Struthio camelus: one gene and its partners. The protein of the gene in region 1 interacts with the protein of each later gene in a biochemical or structural test. Links are inferred from orthologs where the notes say so. Each region holds a gene or a part of one and is shown on either strand. Other genes may lie near its edges.

Region 1 (7,782 bases):
CTCAGGATGAATGAGATTTACTGCCCATTAAAATAAAGCCCTTTCTGTAGTTTATAAACAATGTTGCTGCTCGGTGGGAGGTTGGACATTTTAGTTCGTTAAGCAGCAAATAATCTCTGTCACTTTTTATTTTTAAGTTTATTTACACGTAGGGGTTTTTTACCCCTTCCTCCTCCCCCTCCCACCCACACCGCTGCAAGCAGCGGCCTTGCTGGTGCGTGAGCGGTGACACCCTGGCGGGAGCTGGACGGGAGACTCGGCAGCACAGCTCGGACTGGGAGGCCGAGGGGGAGAGCACGCGCGCCCGCAGCCCAGCGGCTGCCTGCTGCGAACCCGCAGCTCTCCGTTTCTGTGGCCATTGGCCAAGCCATTAAAATAATCCTGTTTATGCATCAAAAATGGTCCTTATATTAGAAAGAAAATAATTTCTTCCTAAAAACTAGGCTCACTGAGTGGTTAGTGTGTCAGAGCAGAGCTCCTTGGGCACTGACATGCTCAGCAGTTGGCCTGGGAACCCAGGGCAGGATTCAGCCCTGGGGAAACCCACTGACATCAGATACCGATGTGGCCCGCAGCTCCCGGGCCTGGGTGCTGAGGGTGCCACAGACCCCTGAAGTTGGACAGCCTGGACTGCGGGAGAGAGATGCCCACGGGGAATGAAAACTGCACCACTCACCCCAGGCTCCTGGTTGGAGAGGCAGTGCAGGCCCCTTCCCTTTGCATCCCCATAACACTGTGGGCCTGTAGAAGGTCTCTCTCTGTCCACCTAGAAACGATACCCCTTACTTGGACCCTTTGGTTGTGCAAATGTCTTCTCGTAGGGGGCTGAGGTGGCGTGCAAGAGATTGCAGCAGGGTGCAGCAGACGAAATATTTCCAGCTAAATCCTGACAGCACCTCCAGCTGCCAGTGGCTGTGAGACCTAGACACTTTCCACGGGTTCCTCCCAGCCAGCGGCAGTCCCCAGCACTTGGCTCAGCACCAGCGCATTGCCAGCAAGCTCCTCTGAGCACAGAGGGAAACCTGCAGCGTCAGGCAGGACGCTATTGGCTCAGCCAGGCGGGCCACGAGAGCTCGGTGATGCTGTCCATGCACAGAGGTGGGCCAGAGCTCGCAGGAGGACCCTAGCAAACCCCCAGTGACAACGTTCTCCAAAGCTACAGGAACTCAAGCCCTATCTACCCTCGTGCAAGGCCAGGAGGGAATGAGGGCACCTGCAAGAGTCAGCACCAAATGCAGCCTGCTCTGGCCAGCGGAGATGCCGTGATATTCTTTGCAAGAGGAAGGATGTGAACTCCCTTCTTAACTGAACTCCACCGTGGGTCACTGATACCCTCCTGAACTGTGTTTCCACCGCAGTTTCAAGTGGCTACTGCATCCTTCTCTATTTCCTCTGGTGGACACTGCTGCACGCAGCTAAAACCCTGCCGTGACTCACCCCAGGAGCAGCTGCAGCTCACTGCGAGGCAGAAGAAATCCCTCCTCGTGTTATCTAGATCCTAAAGCACTTGAGCAGACGGCGAATGTGCAAGCCATTATATCATTCACTCGCTATCAAAAGCTCACACAGTGGCACTTAATTACAGCCCCGGAAGCATAGGCTTCCTTAATAAATCAAAGAAATCAAGTCAGGGATGGTGCACTGAACAGAGGGGGTGTGCGGTGGGGGGAATAAAGAGCTTACAGTTTCCCACTGTGTGTCCCCTTTAGATAACAGATGCTCTCTTCTTAACCTCTCACTTCATCAGATCAGCTCCAGCTGTGTTTGGATCAAGTGTGCAGCCTGGCCCGCGTCCAGCCTGCCTGCTTCCCGGGTCTGGTGCCAGCTCCGTCGCTCCGGCTCAGGGCCGGCCGCGCGCGGGCTCGCCAGGGGTGCCAGCGAGGAGGGGGCCGCAGCCGGGAGAGCCCGGCACATCCGGAGAGTTTAACAAAGTACGTTTTACCCTTTGGCTGCTTCCAGCAACCCAAACCCCTTCGTAAGAACTTCTCTAGGGCACAGGGAAAGGGCCGAGCATCGGTCCCTGCAGCGCCCGCAGCCCGTCCCCGACGGGGCTCCCCGACGGGTAGGAGCAGCCCTGGAGCTGGTCTCGGCGCAGAAGCAGTTTGCAGAGGATGTTTTTACTCCCCGCGAGTAGCCCACGCTGGTGCAACAGCCAGGAGACGACACTGTTAGTAAACACCTTCCAAAGGCCGCGCTAACGGCTCCGGATCGTCCCGGCCATAAATCACAGGACAAGCCACCTGGGAAGCCCTCCCGCTCCCCGCCGCCGAGCACACCACCCACCTTCTTGTTTATTTGTACGTGTCACCTCCTCTCCTCCCTTTGGCTCCGAGCCCGCAAGGGAAACTCATTGATTAATAGGGCTGGAACAGCATTAAAAGGAGATCGCTCCCGGCAGCGCCGTGCAAGCGCCCGCCGGGAGGTGCGCGCGGAGCCGCAGCCCCCGCCACCGGCTCACCCCACGCCACCGGCTCGCTAGCAGAAAACGAGGGGGAGAGCGACGTCTCGGCGATACGGACAGCGGCCCTGCAGCACGCGACGGGCTCGCGCCGCGTGGCCGTGCCGATACCCGGGCGGCCACGCGGGCCACGTGCCGGCAGCGGATCTGCCCCTGCGCTGCGGCAGCTCACGCCGGGCCTGCTGCACCGCGAGCAGGTGCCCCGAGCCTCCGACGCTCCCAAAGTCCCGCCACTAACCCAAGGGAAAAGCCAAAAGCCATCGCCGAACGCCCCCCTACCAGGAGGGCTGACAACACCCCTCCTACCAGCGTGCAAACGTGCCGGCAGCTCAAGGACTTTAGCAGAGATAAAGCCTTTGAGAAATCCCACTGCCTCTAATCCCCCCGCAGCACAAATATAATGAAGCATTATCTCATCAGGCCTTAACCCCGTAATTACCCAGGGGATGGTTTAATAAGGACGGGACACCCACCTGCCAAATAAAACTTAAGCCTGGCTCCTTCTCGGTTGCACAACACAACGCCGGGCATGTCTGTGTGCGCATCCTTTCGCTCCCTCGGACCAGCCCAGCCAGTTGGGCAGCCGGAGGGAGGGAATCGGAAAACAACCTTGGCGGGGGGGGTATCGAGGGAGCACTGACACCGGAGAGACCCGGCTCCCTCGCCACAGCAGGGGACCAAGGTCTGCCCCTGCCACGCTCTGCCTGGCACCGACCCGGCCGGGAGGAGAGCAAGCCCAGCAGGAGCCTGCACGGACACTGGGAAGGGCTACCCGCCACCGAACTCTCCGAAACGGCCCCAAAATCTCAGCCGGCGCAGTGGGCTGGGTGTCTGCTGTTTACGGAAGCGGGGGCTCCGCGTCCCTCGGCAGGCGCTCGGTGCCACCCTCCCCTCGCCACCTTGGCTCATTTCGTGTCACCTCCTCGCTCAATGCCACATCCTTCCTGCCAGGGCCCTCCTCGAGTCATACGCGGCCTGTTTCGAACCCCGGACAGGCGAAAGAGAGGAAAGCAGCGGGGAGGCCGCGCAGAGCTCGTGGGCAGAGCTTGCCCCAGGTGCAAGTTCACAGCCCCAGACGCTGCCGGCGGGCCTGGCTCGTCCCGGCGGGGGCCCGACTCTGGCACCGCCGCTGCCCGGCGGCCCAATTTGCAGCATCTGCAGGTGGAGGGGGACGTTTCGAGGCCGTTCTGCAAGGAGGCCTCCCGGCTCAGCCCGCCCAAATCACTCCGCAGCTTTCGCAAACCTTAGCCCTGGCTCCAAGGCGCGCTTCCAGCCTTGCTCGCGTAACGCAAAGCGAGCCGGTCGGAGGAGACGGCTCCGGGGTTACAGCTCGGAGAGCAGCTGCGGGGACGAGCCCAGCGCCTGTCGGCGACGGGCTGCGCTCTGGGCGGTGTTATCTCAAGATCTTTTACAAATAAATATCATTGCTCATTATCTCAGCATTAAAGTTGCAGGCTGGGTGAGACGGGTACTGAGCTTTCTCTCGCTAATCTAAAACGGATGCCAGCGTTTCTATTATTAATCTCCCAGGCTGCAGGCTCCCTCCCCCTCCTGCCTCTGCAAGCTCCCCAGCGAGCGGGGGGCCCGCGGGGGCCGCGGCCGACCCCACGGGAGGAGAAGGGACGTCCTCTCCTCTCCTGCTCCTGCACAGCCTGCCTGCTTGGTTCCCCAACGGAGCTAACTCGTTGCTGGAGCAGTAAAACCTCCTCCGACCACCCCCACGGCTGCAAAGCCGGCGACTGGGCTGGGAGATTTTCTGAGGTTTGATTTCACTGAACCCATTTCCACATGTGGCCGCAGCAAACACAAGCAAGGGGAGGCAGGGGGAAGAGGCGGTTCCTCTCTCCGAGGCGGCACAGGGAGAACCACGGGGCGCCAAGAGCCCCTGCAGAGCTGCTGCCGGCAGTCAGCGTCCCGGAGAGCTCAGACCTCAAGCGCTTGGCTCAACCTAGGCCTCTGCACAAAGGCCAAGGATCGGGGGCAGCGAAGGCGACAGCCTCAGGGAAGGCTTCGCAGCAGGAAAACCAGCTCCCAGCATCACTCATCCACCTGGGCTTGCAGCCTGGAGAGAGACACGACCGAGGCACGGCCAACCCCAGACCCGCAGAGCGCCCCGGGCCGCAGCAGCACAGCAAAGTCCTGCCGTGCCACGCGGACCGGCCCGTTAGCAGCACGCGCCTTGCAAGGAACTGAGCAGCAGGAGAGCTACGGACAAGGCAGAGCCCAGGGGGTTCGGTGCCGGGAGCTGCCCAGCATCCCGCTGCATCTCAGCACCGCCAACAACCGCGTCCCCCAGAGCCGGGAGACACTGCCGCAGAACCGCCTGACTCACGGATATGGCCTGATTTGTCATCTCTAAACCTTGTATACATTGGCAGTAAAGGACCCAGCATCAGCTTAAGCGGTGCTGGCACCTTTGGGACAGGGACTTAGGTCACGGGCACCAGCTCCCCGCCCGCCCCGGGGAAATGCAAAACTCCAATCCTAACAGCAGCGTGGCACCTGACTTCAAGCACCTAAAAGGCTGTGCCTTGTTTCTAGGTTTAAATGACAGCAGTGGATCCCAAGCTTAGACATTGAGGAAGGCTTTCAAAGAGGAAGGAGGGAGTGGAAGAAGAGGTGAGGGGCAGGAAGGACCGCGCGCGAGCCAAGCCCGCTTGTCCCTGCTGCCTGCATCCCGCGGCAGCCCCCATGCCCAGACAAGCCCTTTGTACGCAGGTCTGACATCCAGCATGTCCCACTTCTCTTCTCCAGACCAAATATCTTGAGGCAAAACCAGAGCAACCAGGGGAGACACTGAAGCAGCGCGGCCCGTTTCCCGCACAGGAGCAGGACCGCTCAGCTGGGGAGGGCTGACAAGGTTACTGCCTCGGCTGATCCACCCTGTCCCCGGCTCAAAGCACCATGAAATCGTCAATCAGAGCCCCAAGACCCAGCGAGGTTAAACAGCCCATCAGCGTTACACCTGGAAACCACGCGCCAGAGAGCTCCTTCAGCCCCGAGCCACTTCCCCCTCCCCTCGCTTCTCCTCTCCTTTTTAAGAGAACAATTAAACTTTGGCCTTTTTGTCATCCATAACATATCCTGATCGCAGGGCTGTTGTGTCCTCCCTGGCTCCTAATCCATCCCTTCACATCTTACCAATAAGAGCTGTGACCCCAGAGCCTAGGGATGGATTAATGTAGGGCCTCCCGGCCGCGAGCGCTCCTCTTGCCCAGCACGCCCAGATGCCTCCTGCTCATTCATTTCACGCTGGGCAGCTGCTTGCAAAACCTTCCCGCGGCCCCTCCCCGCGCTGCGATGAGGGGAGACGGGACGTGTGACTTCGTCGCGTGACGTCACGTGCCCCCACAGCCTGCGCCGGGAAGTCAACGCGCGTTTCGACACCCTTTGGTTCATCAGCTGTTCGTTTCAACATCCCCACGGTAAACCTTTAAAAAAAATAACACCCTGTCACTCCCTTGCAATCCCTCTTCTGCTAGCTCTGTTTCATCCGAAAGAGCAGTTGTCACTTCCAAATAAATATTTGTCAACCAAATTGCAGGTGTCTTGGGCTTCCCACCTCCTCTTCTTTCAACTGCTTGTCTCGTTGACACCAGAGCTCTGCCAAGCTCCCAGACGTCAGCTGATAATAGCTCCAGGGAACGTTTCTACCATCTCCTTTGTGTCTGAAGTTCAAAGGACTTCTCAAATGTTCTCACTAAACTCAGTGGGAACACCCTGGTTAAGAGACACCTCAGAGCAAGCTGATGCAGGGGGTGATAGATTAAAAATCGGTGGTAGGAAGGAGCCTTCCCTTTCTCCACATAAAGTCTCGGGTAAATAGCTGGGAAGGTAAAGTCCAAAACCAAGGGCTAGTCCCAAAGGACAGCCTCTGCAGCAGCCCATGCTGGCTGGCCCATGCACCTGTAGTGGTTGGTGTGGAATAAAGACTTCCCTTCCATCTCTTGTGCTTTGGACCAAATCCAGAGAGTCTCAGGGTCCTCTGCATCCTTTGGACAAAGCTCCTTAGAGGGAGAGACTACTGGTACTGGAGCATCTTCCACCAATTCTGGGCTGTGGGACACTCACGTGGGCTTAAAGAAATGTCTGCTACCCTCTCCTTCCCACCAGCACACTGGATTTCTTGGCTTGGGAAATGCAGCCCCTGATCCCCTGACCGGCTGATGTGAAACATGATCCAACATCCCCTGGAAGGCAAAATGACTTCTCAGCTTCTCTCTGCCGCTCTGGGATTTGTCTTGAGTCCTGTCAGCTGGGGATACCGGCCTGCACCACTTATCCCTGTTCCCTGGGGATCTGGTGCGTTGCTGGTGACGGCTCTGCACTTTTTGCTCTCTGTGAAATGCAGCCTCTCATGTTTGATTTGTTGGGCTTTGGTTCGCTTTTATCAATGCTTAGCCTAAGAGCTTCTTGAAAACTGAGCAACGGAGCTTCAGTCCTGCCTTTTAATTGAACGGGAGGTTTTGTTTCATTTCTTTGCCACTGCTAATCTTACAAACACACTGTCCATTCATTTAAAGGCTCAGGTCAAAGAATCCCAGCACTTCTGCTCAGAGCCAACCAAATAATAATCTAGCTACTTGCAACAGGAAAGAGTTTAGCAGGTCAACTGCTTCCCTGCCTCCAGGAGGCTCTAAACGAAATGCCTGGCTAAACAAGGGAGCTGAGATGATGATGGTGTCAGATTTAGCTATCATTTCGCAAGGGGAGCTGTATGCTGAGACAGGAGCAGTCCTGAGCGGTTGTTGCAAGGTGTTCCTCCCCTACAGAGGTGTTCCTCTGGTCTTGTCGCGCTCCAGAAATGCTGTGCAAATGGGGCATAGCACATCTCCTGAACCCCGGGCCAGGCCTTCGGCTCTAGCCATGCATCCGTACAGCTGCTGCTGGTGGGGCAACAGTTGGCTTCTTCAGTTCCAGAGTCACATCCCTCTACCTGGCACAGGGACAGGCACCTACATCCAACGGACAGATGCCCTCTCATGAACTCTAGGAAGTTTCAACCCTAAAGGAAGCTTGTAGATGAGACCTAAACAAGAACAGACCATTACTACACTCCACGTGCACCTCGTGGAGGAAGACAGGACAAGAGGCCAAGGGAACATGCAGATAACACCTTCCTAGAGTCACAGCCCCTGACCTGCAAGAGCCCTGTGGCATCTGTGTTTTCAACATAGGGATGAACTTCTCTGCCCCTGGCATGGCCCCAAACCTGTAAGGATCAGGAAAGGAAAGCCAGAAAGAGCTGCAAATCCTGCTGGTTCCCAGTAAACTTCCCTCAGCGATGACCTCTGGGAGGCTGGACTGGAGCCCTGGCTAAGGGT
Region 2 (6,995 bases), on another chromosome or scaffold:
GCTGGATAAAACATCTAGAGTCTCAGCAGTGGTTAAATTGCTGCTATAAAGGAAATTGTCCTCAGATAAATGGTTTCCCTATGAGAAGGTTTCAGTGCTACACCTCACCCCAGGTCAATAAATCAAATTAACTGCACCTTGTCCTCTGGCCAATGACATCATCGGCTTGACCACATCTTGTGAAGCGAGTGCAAAAACATATGCTGTTTAAGGCATGAAATCATATTACTGCTTTTTGTCCAGCCAGCCTTGTGCTGCTGGTCTGTGAAACAGTCAGTCACCTGAACAGTCTCATTACTCTCTTCTACAGATCTTTTCTTATAGTATTCAAGGCCTGTCTTCACCAAGGGTGAAGAAAAAGGAAAAATAATCTGAGTTGTTATTTTTGAAATCAAAATGCTTTTCATTAGCTACAATCTAGTGTTTTGTAACAAATTAAATTTAGAACCAAACTACAAAATATGTTGGCTGCACATGTATATGAACTCTCTACCTAGTCATGCTTCAAAGACGTTTACATGCTAATCTGGCACAGCCACTTTAAAAGTACCCTGCTGTCAGGTCCTTTTTCTCCACAGGGTGGAAACAATGGTCATTAATGAAAAAATCTAGTTTTATCTGAAGGCCATACCTGCATAAATGAATTTTAAAAAATTACTGCCTCTTGCTAAAAAAGTAGTTCATCTGTTTTCTAAGTAGCCTAATATCTACTTTAGAACAGAATTACTCCAGACAATTTAAGAGGATTAATTTCAATTTTCACTTGATGAACTTATGACACAAACACACACACACACAAAAAAAAAAAAAAACTTATCTTGCTTTCTAGACCCTGTACTGCCTAGTAGCATCTTCTGTCATGGAAGCCAAATCTAAATAAAAAAAAAAAACTCAGAATGGTCAAAGATACAAGCAGTGACAAAAGCATCTGACACACAGCACTGTTAAACTGCATCCACACTAAGCAAAAAGGAGAATAAGATTATCTTCAATGTATTCAATTCTGTTTGTGTCCACAGGAAGGAGGAAAGCTGTTTAGATTTTGAGTGTGTCTTCTATAGCTCTCTCAGTGCCAGGAAACGTAAATTAGAAGCAACTCTCCTTTAAGGAAAAGAATCAAGGACAAAGGGACCAAAAATGCCCAAGCCTCTGAAGAGCAGATATGAAAGGAACAGCTTTACAGTCCTGAGTTGCTATAAATTAAAAATAAGCTTCTTATTTAAAAGACATGAGTGTTTGAGAATCTATGAGCAGATCTGATGCTGCTCAAGCCCCAGGAGGGTTTTGTTTTTGCTGGCAGGGGTGGAGTGGGGATGGGGGGGTCATTTTGGTTATTAGTAAATAAATCAAGCGGCAGAGTGAGGCCTAGGCGCCTGCCAGAGGAACCAGGGCCTAGCTCTCCCCCCTCCTCTCCTCACACAGCCTGGGTTTGATCTCGGGGCCCTGTGGGTTGCCAAGAAAATTTAAAAAAAGCAAGAGAGCGAGAAAGAAGAATCATATTGAACCACAAAAGCACATGGGGCGAATGTAAAATATAAACACGGCGTTGGGCTCTGAGTGGCTGTTATTAAAGGTCTGAATTACTAAACATGAGAGGCGGGGAAAGCCAGGCGGCCATTTCAATAATATAAACCTCCCCGAATTAGACATTATTCAAATGAGAAAGAGAAGGAGAGATAGAGAGAGAGAGGGAGAGAGGCAGAAAGAAGCAGGACCCGCACCCCCGTGCCGGCCGGCCGGCCGGCTCTCCCGGCACCCCGGCCGCGGCGCCCGCAGCCCCCGAGAGTCTGAAGGGGCAGAAGGGCAAATACTGGGTGGGCACATCGCGCCCGCCCCACTGCAAACAGCCTGCCTCTCGCCTCGGAGAGGGGGCCACGGAGAAACTCCGCCACCCCGCCAAGAGGAGCCACCCCACGTTGAACCCTACCCTTGGCGGGGGGGGGAGGGGAGGAGAGGAGAGGGGGGAAGCTTTAAATAACATCCAAACCCAGCTCTCTCTCGCCCTACCCCCTCCTTGAGGCCATCCGCACCCATCCACCCCACGCCTGCAGGCCTCAGGCTCTGGGGAAATAACCTCAGCTGGGGGGAAGGGGGGGGGAAACCCTAGCCTTTCCCCCTCACCCCCAAGCCAGGCGCGCACTTCCATCCCTTTCCTCCACGCTGCCCCAGCGGCGGATCCTGCCCCGCTCGGGGGCAGCGGCAGGCGGCCGCCGCCGCCGGCCTTCCCCCCCCCCCCCCCATCCCAAACCCCGCAGCGCGGCCGCCCCAGTCTCTCCCCCCCCCCCCCCCATGAATATGTAAAGCGGCTTTTATTGTGGGCGTGCGGGCCGGCGGTTGGGGTGGGGGGGGGGGAGTCCGGTTGGCCGCCGCCGCCGCCCGCTTTCTGGTGCGGGGCTGCCCGCTGCCCCCTCCTCCCCCCTGCTGCTGCCGCCGCTCTCTCTCTCTCCCTCCCCGCGCCGTCACCTCACCCCCCCCCCCCGACCCCACCGCCTCGGCGCTGCCGTTGCCGCCGCCGCCGCCCGCGCCGCCGCCCCCCAACGGCCCCGCCGCCTGCCCCGGCGCCGGTGCCCGGCCGGGCGGGCGCGAGTGCGAGGGAGGGAGCGTGTGTGAGTATGTGTGTGCCGCTGTGTGTGCGTGTGTGTGTGTGTGTGTCTGTGTGTGTGTGTCTGTGTGCGCGCGTGTGTGTGTGTCTCCCCGCACGGGGAAACTGCTTTCCTTCTTCCCCCCCCCTCCCTCCTTGCTCCCTCCTGTGCCGTTAATTATAATAATCCTGAGTACTAATAAATTATGCTAAGCGGGGCGGGCGGGCGGCGGGGGGGCCGCGTGTGCGAGTATGAATATGAATATGTAAAATGCAGTAATGATTACCTGCCGCTGCCGCCACCGCCGCCGCCGAACTCTCATCTTGACTCGCTGCTCCTCCGTCCGCCATTTTGAATATTTTAACCAAAATCGGCCGCCCGATAAACCCTCCCTCGCTCCCTCCTCCCCTCCCCCTCCCCTCCCCCCGCCGCCGCTCACCCCCCTCCCCCCCGCGCCCCTACCGCGCAGCCGCCAACTCGCCGCGCCGCTGCCTCGCTCTGCGCCTGCGCGCGCCCCTCTCTTCCCCCTCTTTTCTCCTCCTCCTCCTCTCCCGCCCGCCCCAGCCGCTTTCCCGACAGCCGCCGCGCATGCGCCTACCTCGCTCGCCCCCCCCCCCCGGCCCAGCTTCGCGCGCCACCGCGCAGGCGCTGGATTCCCTTCCCTTCACCTTTGGCCCAGGCCTCGTTAACGTGTAAACCGCCGCGCCGCGCGCACCAGCGCTTCAGCCCCCCCCCCCCGCCTCCCCGCGCTTGGGGGGGGGGGGGGAAGGGAAGGGAAGGGGGACACGGCGCCTGCGCACTGGGGCTGGCGGGGGCCGGGCGGGCGGCGAATGGCGCAGAGCGGGGGAGAGGGCGTCGCGGCGCCGCCGGCCGGGGGCACAGCGCGGGCGCCAGGCAGGAGCCGCCCTCCGCAACGGGGAACAACTCCCACCCTGCCTCATCCGTTTTTTATTAACTGTTCGGCCACCGGGCCTTTCGGGAGCCGCACAAACAGTTAATCACGGTAGATAAAAGAGGAGCGGCTGGACGCAAACACGTTCAAATATAAGCGTGAGGCTGCTGGAAACGGCATTTCAAGAAGAGCTGTTCTGGGGAAACACCCGTCATAACTGTTATCTGCCAGACAGGTAGTTCCCCGAGCTGCAAGCAAAATTAATCCCCTGTGAATAAAAAGGAATCGAATACAAAGAAATGAAATAACAGGACCCTCAGTGCTGTGCCGAGGAGGGGTGCGTCAGCCGTGGTCCGTGGTCTGTTACTCCTTCAGAGAAGAGCCATGACAAGGAGATGAGTCTCCTCTTCAGAAGCCCTCCCTGACGCATCCCTAGTCCTGGGCAGCGCAAAGCTCCTGCGGTGTCTTTCTCAAACGAGTATTTTCTCCTCTTCCACGCTCTGCATCAAATTTGACTAACCCAAAAGGAAAGGGGAGTCAGGCTTTGTGCTTCCCCCCAACACACACCTTAAAAGAGTGTACAGCAAACACTAAGAGAGCAGAGGGACCCACAAATAAAATCAGCTTTAGGTTCAAAACTTCCAAATCAGCACAAGCAATAAGCTAAATAGGCTAAAGAAACAAAGTGTTGCTTATACTTGACAAATTAGGCAGAGCAATAATAAAACATGCTAATATTTTTAAGCGTTAGATTGCATAAATATATATTATTCCTGAGCTTGGTAATGTACATTTGTATAATGATAAAAAAAAAAAAGGGAATAGAAGATATAGGATAGTTTTCATTAAGAACTTAGTCTACCGTTTTCCAAGACTCATTAACTCCAATGCGTCAGAGTCCAAGCCAGACTTTCTTGAGGGGCTTAAAACCTTGTGAAATCAGAGAAGTGGCAAGAATCCACCGTTGCTTGCTTTGCTGGAGAAAATTATGACTTGTATCAGAGGCAGTCGCTAGAAGAGCCAAAAAGGAAAGGCTGAGGGAGGGAGACAGCAGGGTTTCTCTGTGCAGGCTCAATCAGAAAGGTAATTTGCACATTTTTATTTAAAAATAATTTTCTCTGATAATGGAGGATTCTTCCATATCATAAAATAACCTCCCAATACTGCAGAAAACACCAGTGGAAATGGACTGTGCTATGAAACAGCAGAGACCTTTCCCTAACACTGTAATTCTATACTTACACATTCATTTGATGATACTCCATGCCAGTAATTAAGCACTTTGTCTTTCAGAAGATCTATTTTTAAACTCACAGAAGTGAAAATGTAAACAACAGCATATTGTCATGCTGCTCTTCTGTTCAGGCGTGATCCTCGCAGGCCAGTTAATCCAGTTTTATGGCCAGGTTATACCAGCCCTGCTGCACGCAGTGGCTGCACCACGACAGATAAAGGTGTAGAGAAAGGGCTAGCTAGATTAAGACTCTGCACAGCTCTAATCCTGCCGACGCTGAATATTCTCCCCCGTATCTTCCCATCTCACCCTTAGACTCGTCTCACTCCTGCAGGCTACTTCCTAGGAACCTCCTCCCTGATAGCAGCCTCTTCTCAGGGAGAATTTGCTCCCACTCGCACACCTGATTTAGTCCTTGCTCTCACTCAGCTTCTGCCCAGTTAGCTGCACCCCACAGCTGCCAAAGAATAGCTCTCTGCAAACCCATGTGTTACCATTTTTTCTGGTAACCAGTAGTTACTAACGGATGCTGTGTTTCTAATGGACTGGCTATAAAGAGGAGAACTCCATCCCATTTCGGCACGTATCTGCTCCCCTCCCTTTTTAAAGATTGCTCTAGATCTACATCTGCATCCTCTTCTCTAGTTTAGTTTGAACATATCTCTGTCTGATGCCTTCCCCAAGGTGTCATACATCCCCATGGCTATATATCCAGGAAAGCCAGCCAAATCATTTGCGATGAATAATTTATCAGATAAATTTTACCTCTACTTCAGTTGTGAATTGTCTGCAAACAGCTTGTGATTTCTACAAACTTCTTCTGGCATCTTATTCATGAGGAGCTTGTTGGGAATATTTGAAATTTGAGCTAATTGGACACAAAAATGATACAAAGCTTAACGTAAGAGAAGCCGAGCACTCTAGCCTCATTTCACAAAAATATTTAGGTTGTAGCTCTGAGGAGTTATTCACCTGCAGACAATGAGGCTGTTCTCATACTTGCAGTTAAGAACATGCTTACGTGCTTTGCTAAAACAGAGCCAAAGCAGTGAGCCCCTTGCAGGACATTGTGTGTTTTTGTTCTCTGAACGGACTTGTCTACCTCGCAGAATCATTTTTCTCAGGGATTTTGCTTTAAAAATATTTTCTGGCACCAAAAAACAGCAGTGTTCAAAATGAACACAACTGTAAAGGGTACAAATTTATTTTGAAATCTTTTAAAGCTCAGCAATATGTCTGTGTCTGTTTTTTTTTTTTTGGTTTTTGTTTTGTTTTGTTTTTTTCAGATATCTCCTAGTTCCTAGCTCCTGCAGAGATCCTTTGTTGTGCTCTACTTTTTGTGCCTATAATACATTTTCTATGTTGGTTACATTGCCTCCTGAATTTTCTCTCCTGCTAGAATTAATTCAGTAGTGTGTTAGAGACAAGGATATTTTTTAAGGTGGGGAGGCAGGGGACAAATGAAATACAAATCACATTATTTTGCAAAAAGCAGATTGGGAAGGAAATTAGCCCTTTCATCACCCAGCTCTATTGTACAGAGATACTAAGAACAAACTATCTGCTCTGTTCCAGTTCCAGTGTGCCACTCACATTTGCATCCCTGATACCGCTTTTTTCACACAATGTCTCTACTATTATATTTTCTTCACATCAGGTTTCTCTCCATCTCAAGGAGGTCCTGTTTCTAGCATCATGTTTGCTTCAGCTTTCCCTTTCCTTTGCTGATCAGATACTTTCTTCATACTGCAATGGAGACTTCTGCTTCAGAGCAGTCTGCCTCTGTTCCTTTCACCTCTAGACTGCTTAGATTGTCTCACCTGCAGTTACATTCTTCTTTTTCTCTCTGGCTGTTTACTATTTTTCGCATGTAATATAAACCCTTACAGAGAGACCAACTGAGGTTACAGTCTCATTTTTTTAGACGCTACAGATACAAATAGCAAAGGACAGTCCATGTCTCAAAAAGCCTGCAATTTCGAGAGATGGCCGACAAAGACTGAGGGAAAGATAGGATTAGGAGCTCCCTGGTCGAGAAGGGGAAGTGACGAAAAGCAATATAAAGATCATGCACAGTTCCTCCAGGGTCACAGTGGAAACATGAGTGGACCTCAGCCTAGGTGTGCTGAGGCTGTGCAGTTCAGCACTTTAACCACAAAGCTCTCTCTCCTTCCTCCCCTTTGTTGTTTTCTTTTTCGCCTCCTGTTCCTGAGCACAGTAAGACAGTCTGTTCCCACCCTCAGCTTGGAACCTCATTCCAGTAATACGTTGTCTCCCCTGGTCACAG
Region 3 (7,632 bases), on another chromosome or scaffold:
TTATTCCTCCAGTTTGTTCTTCAAATACCTCACACAGCACATTACCAGAAGAGATGACAGTTTTGCACTGTTTTGTCCCTCCTGCTTTCTGAGAATTTAGGAACTCCTCCCATCGTAACACATTTCTCCTCAGTATAATCAGTTGTAAACAGTGACACCATTTCTTAAATCCTAAACTGAGTTTACAACTGTTTGATATCAGTTGGAAAACAAAACAGCTAGTGCACATTATCAAGTCAAACTTTAGTTAGCTAGCATACAATCCATTGCCATTTCAACAAGACCAAAACAGTGACAGCAGAAGACCTAAGTAATCTGTCAAGGAGAGTGTGAGTTCAATAGAAGTTCCTCCTTTCTACTGGAGGATGAAAAATAGCATGGAAGCATGCAAGTAACTAGCAAAAGATGATGATAGGGTAAAAATAACGTCACTGAACATGTTACATCTGTAAATTTGTAGAACACGGAAGTACATACACTGTATTATTCATTCCCACTGTTCCAACTCATATAGACAGAATAATGAGCGAGGTGGCAATAGTAAATTGGTAGTTCTATTTTTCTCCGTCTCCCCCGCCATCTCTACCATTTGTCCTCTCTTCACTAGATCTTTGAACAACACCAACCTTTTCTTCTTACAATGGATCTTGTTTCTTACCCCAGCTACAGACCTCTAGTTCTGCTATATATAAACAGGACATCTGTGAATTGAGCTATGCCCTTTATGACTCAAAACTCATGAGAAAGTGATTATATGATCTCTGAGCCTACATCACAACAGCAGCTAGCTGCTTCTCTGCCCTCTTTCTCATTTCCAAGCATTTCATCTTCAAATATCCTATCATCGACCACACTTTGTGCTTTTCAGTTCTTCTTAAGCAGGATTTCACAATTCTTTTACTCCTAGACTTACCATGAGCAATACACCTCACATGCCAGCCAAGTTTAAATGCACTGGGTTTGGGTCTTACAGATTTTCCCATTCTGGAATCTCTGGCTAGGCAGTTTGACTACTACACGAACTGCATACTAATATTAAAGACTATTGAGAAGTATTATTTAAAACAAACAAAAAAATTCCTACACAACACAGACATCCATGTAGATAAAGAGGCTCAGCATATCAGGCTAATAAAAAACTAACCAGGCCCGATCTCAGATACTCTGAAGCAAGTTGTCTCTCCCAATTGTCTCAAAGACTCCTTTCTCTCAAGGTATACCTCTATGAATCGCAATGGTTGTAAGCTAGCTAAATAACTTTTGCACGTTCAAGTTGTGGTCCTTCTGGGCAGAACTACTGGCAGCATGGGAAAAGCTTCCAATCTGCAGTTCTGAAATATGCCCAAAGGACAACGGCCAACACTCACCCAAGGATAACTTATCGGGAGTTACTGTTCTCTTCATGTTTGATTTCTCCCTTGACCCTCCCACTATACTTCCCTGTAAGCAAACTACCACTATCCATGAATTCCTAAGGAGAAGCTCGATTTGAATCACTTCTCTTTTCCATGCAAAAAACTCCAGGATCTTCACCCATTTCTGCTAGAGGATACTTGCTTGCACGTTCTTCCAAGACGAACTTGCACTCAACAAAATAAAGCAACTCGCTAAATCAAAGACAGCTAGAAGGGAACATCACAAAAGTAACTTCAGCTTGCAGTAGTTTACCATAGATATCCTCTACAGCAAAATGCTTTTTAAATACATCCACTCAAGCCACTGCTTCAGAACACGTGCTCTCCAAAACTTCCTCAAGGCGTTCTCCTTTCAAAGTGACAGTTAAGCAACTTGTAAATAAATGCATTACCAGCTCTACCCAGTCTACCAATCACGTGGACAGTGTCAAGTGTTAACGCTCGCTCCTGCTTCCTACCGTCTAAGTGTTTGAACCCTCCCTCCGGCTAAGCCCCCTGTAAAAAGGGATGACACCTGCAGGGCGTCCCTCTCGCTGACCTCTGCGGCACCATCCTCCCAAATTACCAGCCCAGAAACATTACTCAAAAAGTCGGTTAGGATCCTGGCTATCAACCGGTACGTTCTTCTGCTCTGCGCTCCCCACAGCATCCCGTATTAAGATTTTTTTTTTCTCTCGGAAACGGGGCGAAGGAAATCCCTCCAGCACGCAGAAGCCCCCGCGGGGGCGGTGGGGGGGGGGGGTAGCGGCGCCCCACAACGGTCCCGCGCTGCGGGGGGCGGGGAGCCCGGCCGCCGCTCCCCTCCACCCACACAGCGAGGTCCTGAGGAAGTGCAGATATATCGCTTTCCCGAGCGAAGAGGGAGATTTAAACACAAAAATTAAAAAGAAAAAAAAAAATCAAAATCCCAAGCGCCCCCACTGGCGCCGCGGGGGGGGGGGGAAGGCTGGGCACAAAGCCCCCCGCGGAGCCCTCCGCGCCCCGGCACCTGCCCGCGCCCGCCACCCCGCCCTTCCCCCCCGCCCCGCGCTGCCCAAACTCCCGTCGCGACAGCGCCTCGCCCTGTCGCGAGGCGCTAACCCCCGCGAGGCCGGGGGCGAGGGCAGATGGGCCACTTACCGGGCGTGCAGCGCAGCGGCGAGGCGGGCGACGAGCCCGGCGAGGAAGGGGGCGCGGGCGGCGGCTCCTTGGGGACGCCGGCGGCCGGGGAGGGGATGGCGGGGGGCAGCATGAGGTAGCGGTCGGGCTGCGGCAGGCAGCGGAGGCAGACGGAGTGGAGGCAGGGCAGCAGCTTGGGCCGCCGGCTCTGGATGGGCTGGCCGCACACGCCGCAAGTGTCCAACAGGTTGAGCGGGGCCGCCTCGCCCCCGCGCTCCGCCGGGCCCTGCCGGCTCTCGGCCTCGTTCTCCCCGCTCAGCGCCGCCGCCCGATCCGCCGGGCAGGGCGCCGCCGCCGCCGCCGCCGCCACCACCACCGCTGCTGCTGCCGCCGCCGCCACCGCCGCCTCTTCCATTGTCCTGCACCAGCCGCCGCCGGAGCGCTGAGGGGAGGCGGGGCGGCCCCGCTGCCCTCGCTGCCGCTGCCTCCCTGCCTGCCCACCCGTCCGCCCGCCCGCGGCGCCGCGCCGACCCCCGCCCCCGAGCGCGGGCCGCGCTGTTTGTGTTCCTAACCCGGGCGAGGGCTGCACCCGCCGCGCAACATGGCCAACGGCCGCCCAGGCCCCGCCCCCTCCCCTCCCGCGCCACCGCCCCGCCTCCCTTTCCCCCCTCCCACCACACCACGGGGCCCCGCCCCCTCCCGCCCGCCCGGCCCGCGGTCTCGGCCCCGCCGCCGCCGCCGCCGCGCCTCGCCACAGCGCCCCGCCCCCTCGGCCCCGCCCCCTGCCGGGCTACGTGCGCCGAGCGCTTCTCCCGCCCCCGCCGAACCCCAACGGACCCGCTCGCCAGGCCCCGCCCCCTGCGCGGACGGTTGGCGCGGCCCTTCCCGCCTTCGCACCCCTGGGCGGCCCTAGGGCTACCCACCTCCCCTGGGGCCTTCTGCCACCCCTCACCCCATCCCCCCACCCCGCCCCGAGCCACACATCCCGCCTTAGGGGCGTCCTGCCCCGCTCAGCGCAAGCTGAGTGAGCTCAGCGAGCCCAAGCCCCCTATCTGCTCACCCCCGACCTCAAATGGCCACCTTGTCCTTTCGGTGAGGGGCCCGGCGCGTGAGGCGTCACACCAGGAGGGACAATCCGGCGCTGCTCCCTCGCCTCACCCTCCGCCGGGCTGCGGTGTGCGTGTCAACACGCGGGCGGCCGAGCCGCTTGGCACCGGGGCCAAATGGGCAGCCATGTCCCCACGTCCTCCAGACTCAATTTGGGGCAGAGGGTTTTGCCCTCCCTTCAGAAGTCACTAAAGAGGTTGTTTTTGTCCCTCATTTTATGTGTGGGTTGTCTGTGTAAATGTTGGCACTTGGTCAGTTTGGCATGTTTTGTCCACACAGCCATTTGCGGGTGTAATAACTCTCTGAAGTTGAGAGGCAATCAGTAAAAAGTAAACTGTAAAATCTGATTTAGACTCAACATTTTATTGAAATAAATGCTCATCCCCCTTCTGCTACTTAAGAAAACATGCAGACGTAAAATAACTGCTTGAGTGTTGGTCACAAGTCAACAGTAAACTGATGCAAACTCTTCGACAGCTCTGCTGTCGGGGGGGCGATGCGTACCAGAAGACGATTAGGAGGAGCAACAAAGTATTCCCTCAGTGCCAGAAGCCCTGGGAAAGCGCGCATAATATGAAGACTCGTGTCAGTGCCAAGACGGACAGGTGCCCGTGAGCCATCAGAATGCAGATATTGAAACTAGGGCAAGGACGTGAGAGAGGGAAGATAATCTTAGTGCAGAACGCGGCTTTTATTAATGTAGCAAAGCAAGTGTAATCAGTAAACACAGCTGTATTCTTACATAATAAGGGTCCGGTATGCAAGAGAGGACGAAATGTGAAATAAATAATCTTGCTTCACCATACGCAAGGTTCGTGTCTTCATCCCCACAAATGGTGCCCAAACAGGGACTTGAAGAGTGAAATCCGGTGGGGAGCCCAGCTGAACTCGATAGAGGCTGCGCAGCATTTGTTACCATTACCTTCACGGAAGGTAAGCAGCTGGGAACATGGGGAATTCTGTATCATCAGAATATAAATCTGTGTACAAGGTTATGCAGCGTTTTTTAGAGAAACGGCGAGTAACTGTAAAGGAAGAAAAAGGAGCTTTCAATTTGGATTGCAGCGCATGTTGACGAAGCTAATACGAGTAATATATATAGTAAGGGGACTTGGGATACCATTGGGGTGTGTTTGTGGCATGCTGCAGCCTCGGATGATCCCGTCGCCCCTTCCTTCTTAACTACTTGGTGACTTGTATTTAATGCATTAGATCAGAATCACCAAGAAAGTATGCAGAAGGCAGCTAAAACGCCTTCTGCTCCTCCTATGCGGAGCAGTGAACCTGCGGAGCCATTGGATCCTGGCCCTGTAGACCCTAAGAAAGAACCAGATCTATTTCCTCCGCAAACTCCTGAACCTGTTATATCAACGCCGGTTGTTACGCCTGTACCTCCAGTAGATCGATGGAAAGAAGCGCGAGCCCAGGCATTGGCGGAAGGAGACCTTGAGTGCCTTCAAGCCGTCACAATGCCTGTCCTCCTGCGCGAAGGTCAAGCCCCCACTTGGGAAGGTTTTCCTTTTGTCTTAATAAAAGAACTTTGAAAAAGTATCAAAGGCTCTGGGCTTGCCTCTCCCTATGCATGGGGCTTGATACAATCGGGTTTTAATAATATGATTTTAACACCTAATGACTGTTGTACGCTGACTCAGCTTTTGTTGACCCCCACGCAGTATATGTTATGGCAGCAGGCATGGCGGAATAATTGTGATCAAGCGGCTGTGACTAATTTGGATCGGCAGCCAGGAGATCCGTTGTATGGAGTAGGCACCGCGGTACTTTTGGGGGAAGGCCCCTATTGGGAACATACAGCGCAGTTATGCATTCTCCGGGGGGCGCTGGCGCAAAGTCAAGAAGAGGCATTAAGAGCATTGTTAAACCTCCCTGATGAAAATGGGAAAGGATCTAAGTCATTTGAGACGATCAAGCAGGGTGCTACTGAAAACTAAAGGCAGTTTGTCAATCGCCTTCATACTGCATTGGAAAGACAAGTGGATAATTCCGAAGCTCGAACAATTCTATTAAAACAAATGGCAGACCGATATTACTCACATCCCGGACTTTGGTGTTTTTTGCTTTGTCCATGTTTCTCTGGATACCTATTCTAATTTACTGTTTGCCAGTGTTCATCGCAGAGAGCGCGCTTGGGGTGTCTGCGCTCACTGGACGCAAGCTTTTGCTTTTACGGGTGTGCCTCATACCATTAAGACTGATAATGGTCCCACATATGTCTCTGTGAAAATTCGTTCTTTTCTTCAAGCCTAGGGAATCCAACATTTAAATGGTATTCCACACAACCCTACCAGGCAAGCTTTAATTGAACGTGCCCATAGTACTTTGAAACAGATGCTCTCTAAACAAAAAGGGGAAACCGAGGGGTATGGGACTCCTCAAGAGAGAGTGGCAAAGGCCTTGTATGTCCTTAACTTTTTGAATCGGGTCCGTGATGAGCAGACCCCTGTTGCCTCCCATCTTAACTCTTTTTCACATCTTCTTCCCTCAGGACAGGCACAAGTTATGATCTGTGATCTGGACTCCGGCCAATGGAAAGGACCTTTTTCTCTGATAACTTGGGGGAGGGGTTATGCTTGTGTTTCTACAGGTACCCAGCCTCGTTGGTTCCCTGCTCGGTGTGTTAAGCCCTATGAAGTACCACGCCAATTTTGTAGCGGAGAATCTGAAGAAGTCGTGGCGTAGTTCTGGGAAATAATATGTTATTTCCTGCAATAATATGCTTTTGTGTTATGTCTGGAGAAACAACGGACGTGGGCAAAGGGATGTGGCCCTCTGTCTCCGAACGACCTGATCTTTGGGTAACTATAGCCAATGCCACAGGACAGGACACTGTTTGCCTGCCTGTGGCTTCGGCTGCTAACCCTTTTCAAACTTGTCTGGTGGGTCTTCCAACAGACGGAAAAGTATATCAAGTTTGTAATGGTACCCCTGCCGCCCTAACGGGCTGTAGTCGGTGGGGTGATGTTTGGGATGGTTGGACGCCCTACCTACCGGTGTTACCTGGGGAACCACAAGAAATAGAGTTATTAGGTTCTGTGCAGATGGATCAATGTATATATTTCAATTATACAGGACAAAATTCCTCTCAAAGGGGAATCACTGTTGTTAATGCTACTTTAGCTGTTTATCGCAATACAACTTTATGGTGTAATGTAACTAGTACAAACATTTCTAAATCCAGGAACGACCCTTTGAAATTACCACAAGGAGTGTTTTTGATCTGCAGCAATCGTGCCTGGCAGGGAATCCCATCTCGCGTCACGGGTGGTCCGTGTACCGTAAGAACATTGGGAATGTATTTGCCCAATTCGACAATGATTCTACAAAAACGACAAAATCGCACTAGACGATCTACACATCTTTTTCAAAAAGATTGTAGAGATTATCTTACTTTCTGGAACCCAGGAGAGATTATTACGGCATCCATTTTTACTCCTGGGGTGGCTGCTGCAAATGCTTTAGCAGCCTTAAATAAATTAGGGTGTTGGCTTGCCAATCAGACTAATAATACTGCAACGGCACTGTCAGGGCTGCTTACCAATGTTGATTCTATAAGACATGCTACATTGCAGAATCGTGCAGCTATAGATTTTTTATTATTGGCGCATGGCCACGGGTGTGAGATTTTGGAAGGAATGTGTTGTATGAATTTGTCAGATCACTCGGAACCAATTCACGACACTATACTGAGGTTGAAAGAGAGCGTAGCGAAGTTGAGGTTAGACGACAATGATTGGCTGGGACGAGTATTCTCAGGATGGGGGATCACAAGGTGGTTTTTAACCATTGTGAAGAGTGGCTTAATTATATTATTGATAATCTTAGTCTGTTTGTGCCTGTTTCCCTGTCTTCTACAGCACGTGCAACGAACGATAGATCGCGCCTTCAATCAACAAGCCTATGCAGTTTTGTTAAAACAAAAAGGGGGAGATGTTGGGGGCGATGTGTACCAGAAGACGATTAGGAGGAGCAACAAAGTGCCAGAAGCCCTGGGAAA

What was found. The genes of interacting proteins can lie anywhere in the genome.
Region 2: the proteins of RXRA (region 1) and POU2F1 form a complex in vitro, tested with the Homo sapiens proteins (2 studies listed by BioGRID). The link is inferred for Struthio camelus from reciprocal best matches to the Homo sapiens genes RXRA and POU2F1.
Region 3: the proteins of RXRA (region 1) and TRIM24 form a complex in vitro, tested with the Homo sapiens proteins (3 studies listed by BioGRID). The link is inferred for Struthio camelus from reciprocal best matches to the Homo sapiens genes RXRA and TRIM24.

The regions. Positions count from the first base shown.
Region 1 is NC_090961.1:4,501,536-4,509,317, forward strand, and holds the start of RXRA (retinoic acid receptor RXR-alpha), read right to left. Parts: upstream 3,064-7,782; 5' UTR 2,990-3,063; coding exon 2,932-2,989; intron 1-2,931. UniProt on the Homo sapiens protein: Receptor for retinoic acid that acts as a transcription factor.
Region 2 is NC_090942.1:105,798,436-105,805,430, forward strand, and holds the start of POU2F1 (POU domain, class 2, transcription factor 1), read right to left. Parts: upstream 3,004-6,995; 5' UTR 2,933-3,003; coding exon 2,869-2,932; intron 1-2,868. UniProt on the Homo sapiens protein: Transcription factor that binds to the octamer motif (5'-ATTTGCAT-3') and activates the promoters of the genes for some small nuclear RNAs (snRNA) and of genes such as those for histone H2B and immunoglobulins.
Region 3 is NC_090942.1:64,646,468-64,654,099, forward strand, and holds the start of TRIM24 (transcription intermediary factor 1-alpha), read right to left. Parts: upstream 3,004-7,632; 5' UTR 2,929-3,003; coding exon 2,535-2,928; intron 1-2,534. UniProt on the Homo sapiens protein: Transcriptional coactivator that interacts with numerous nuclear receptors and coactivators and modulates the transcription of target genes.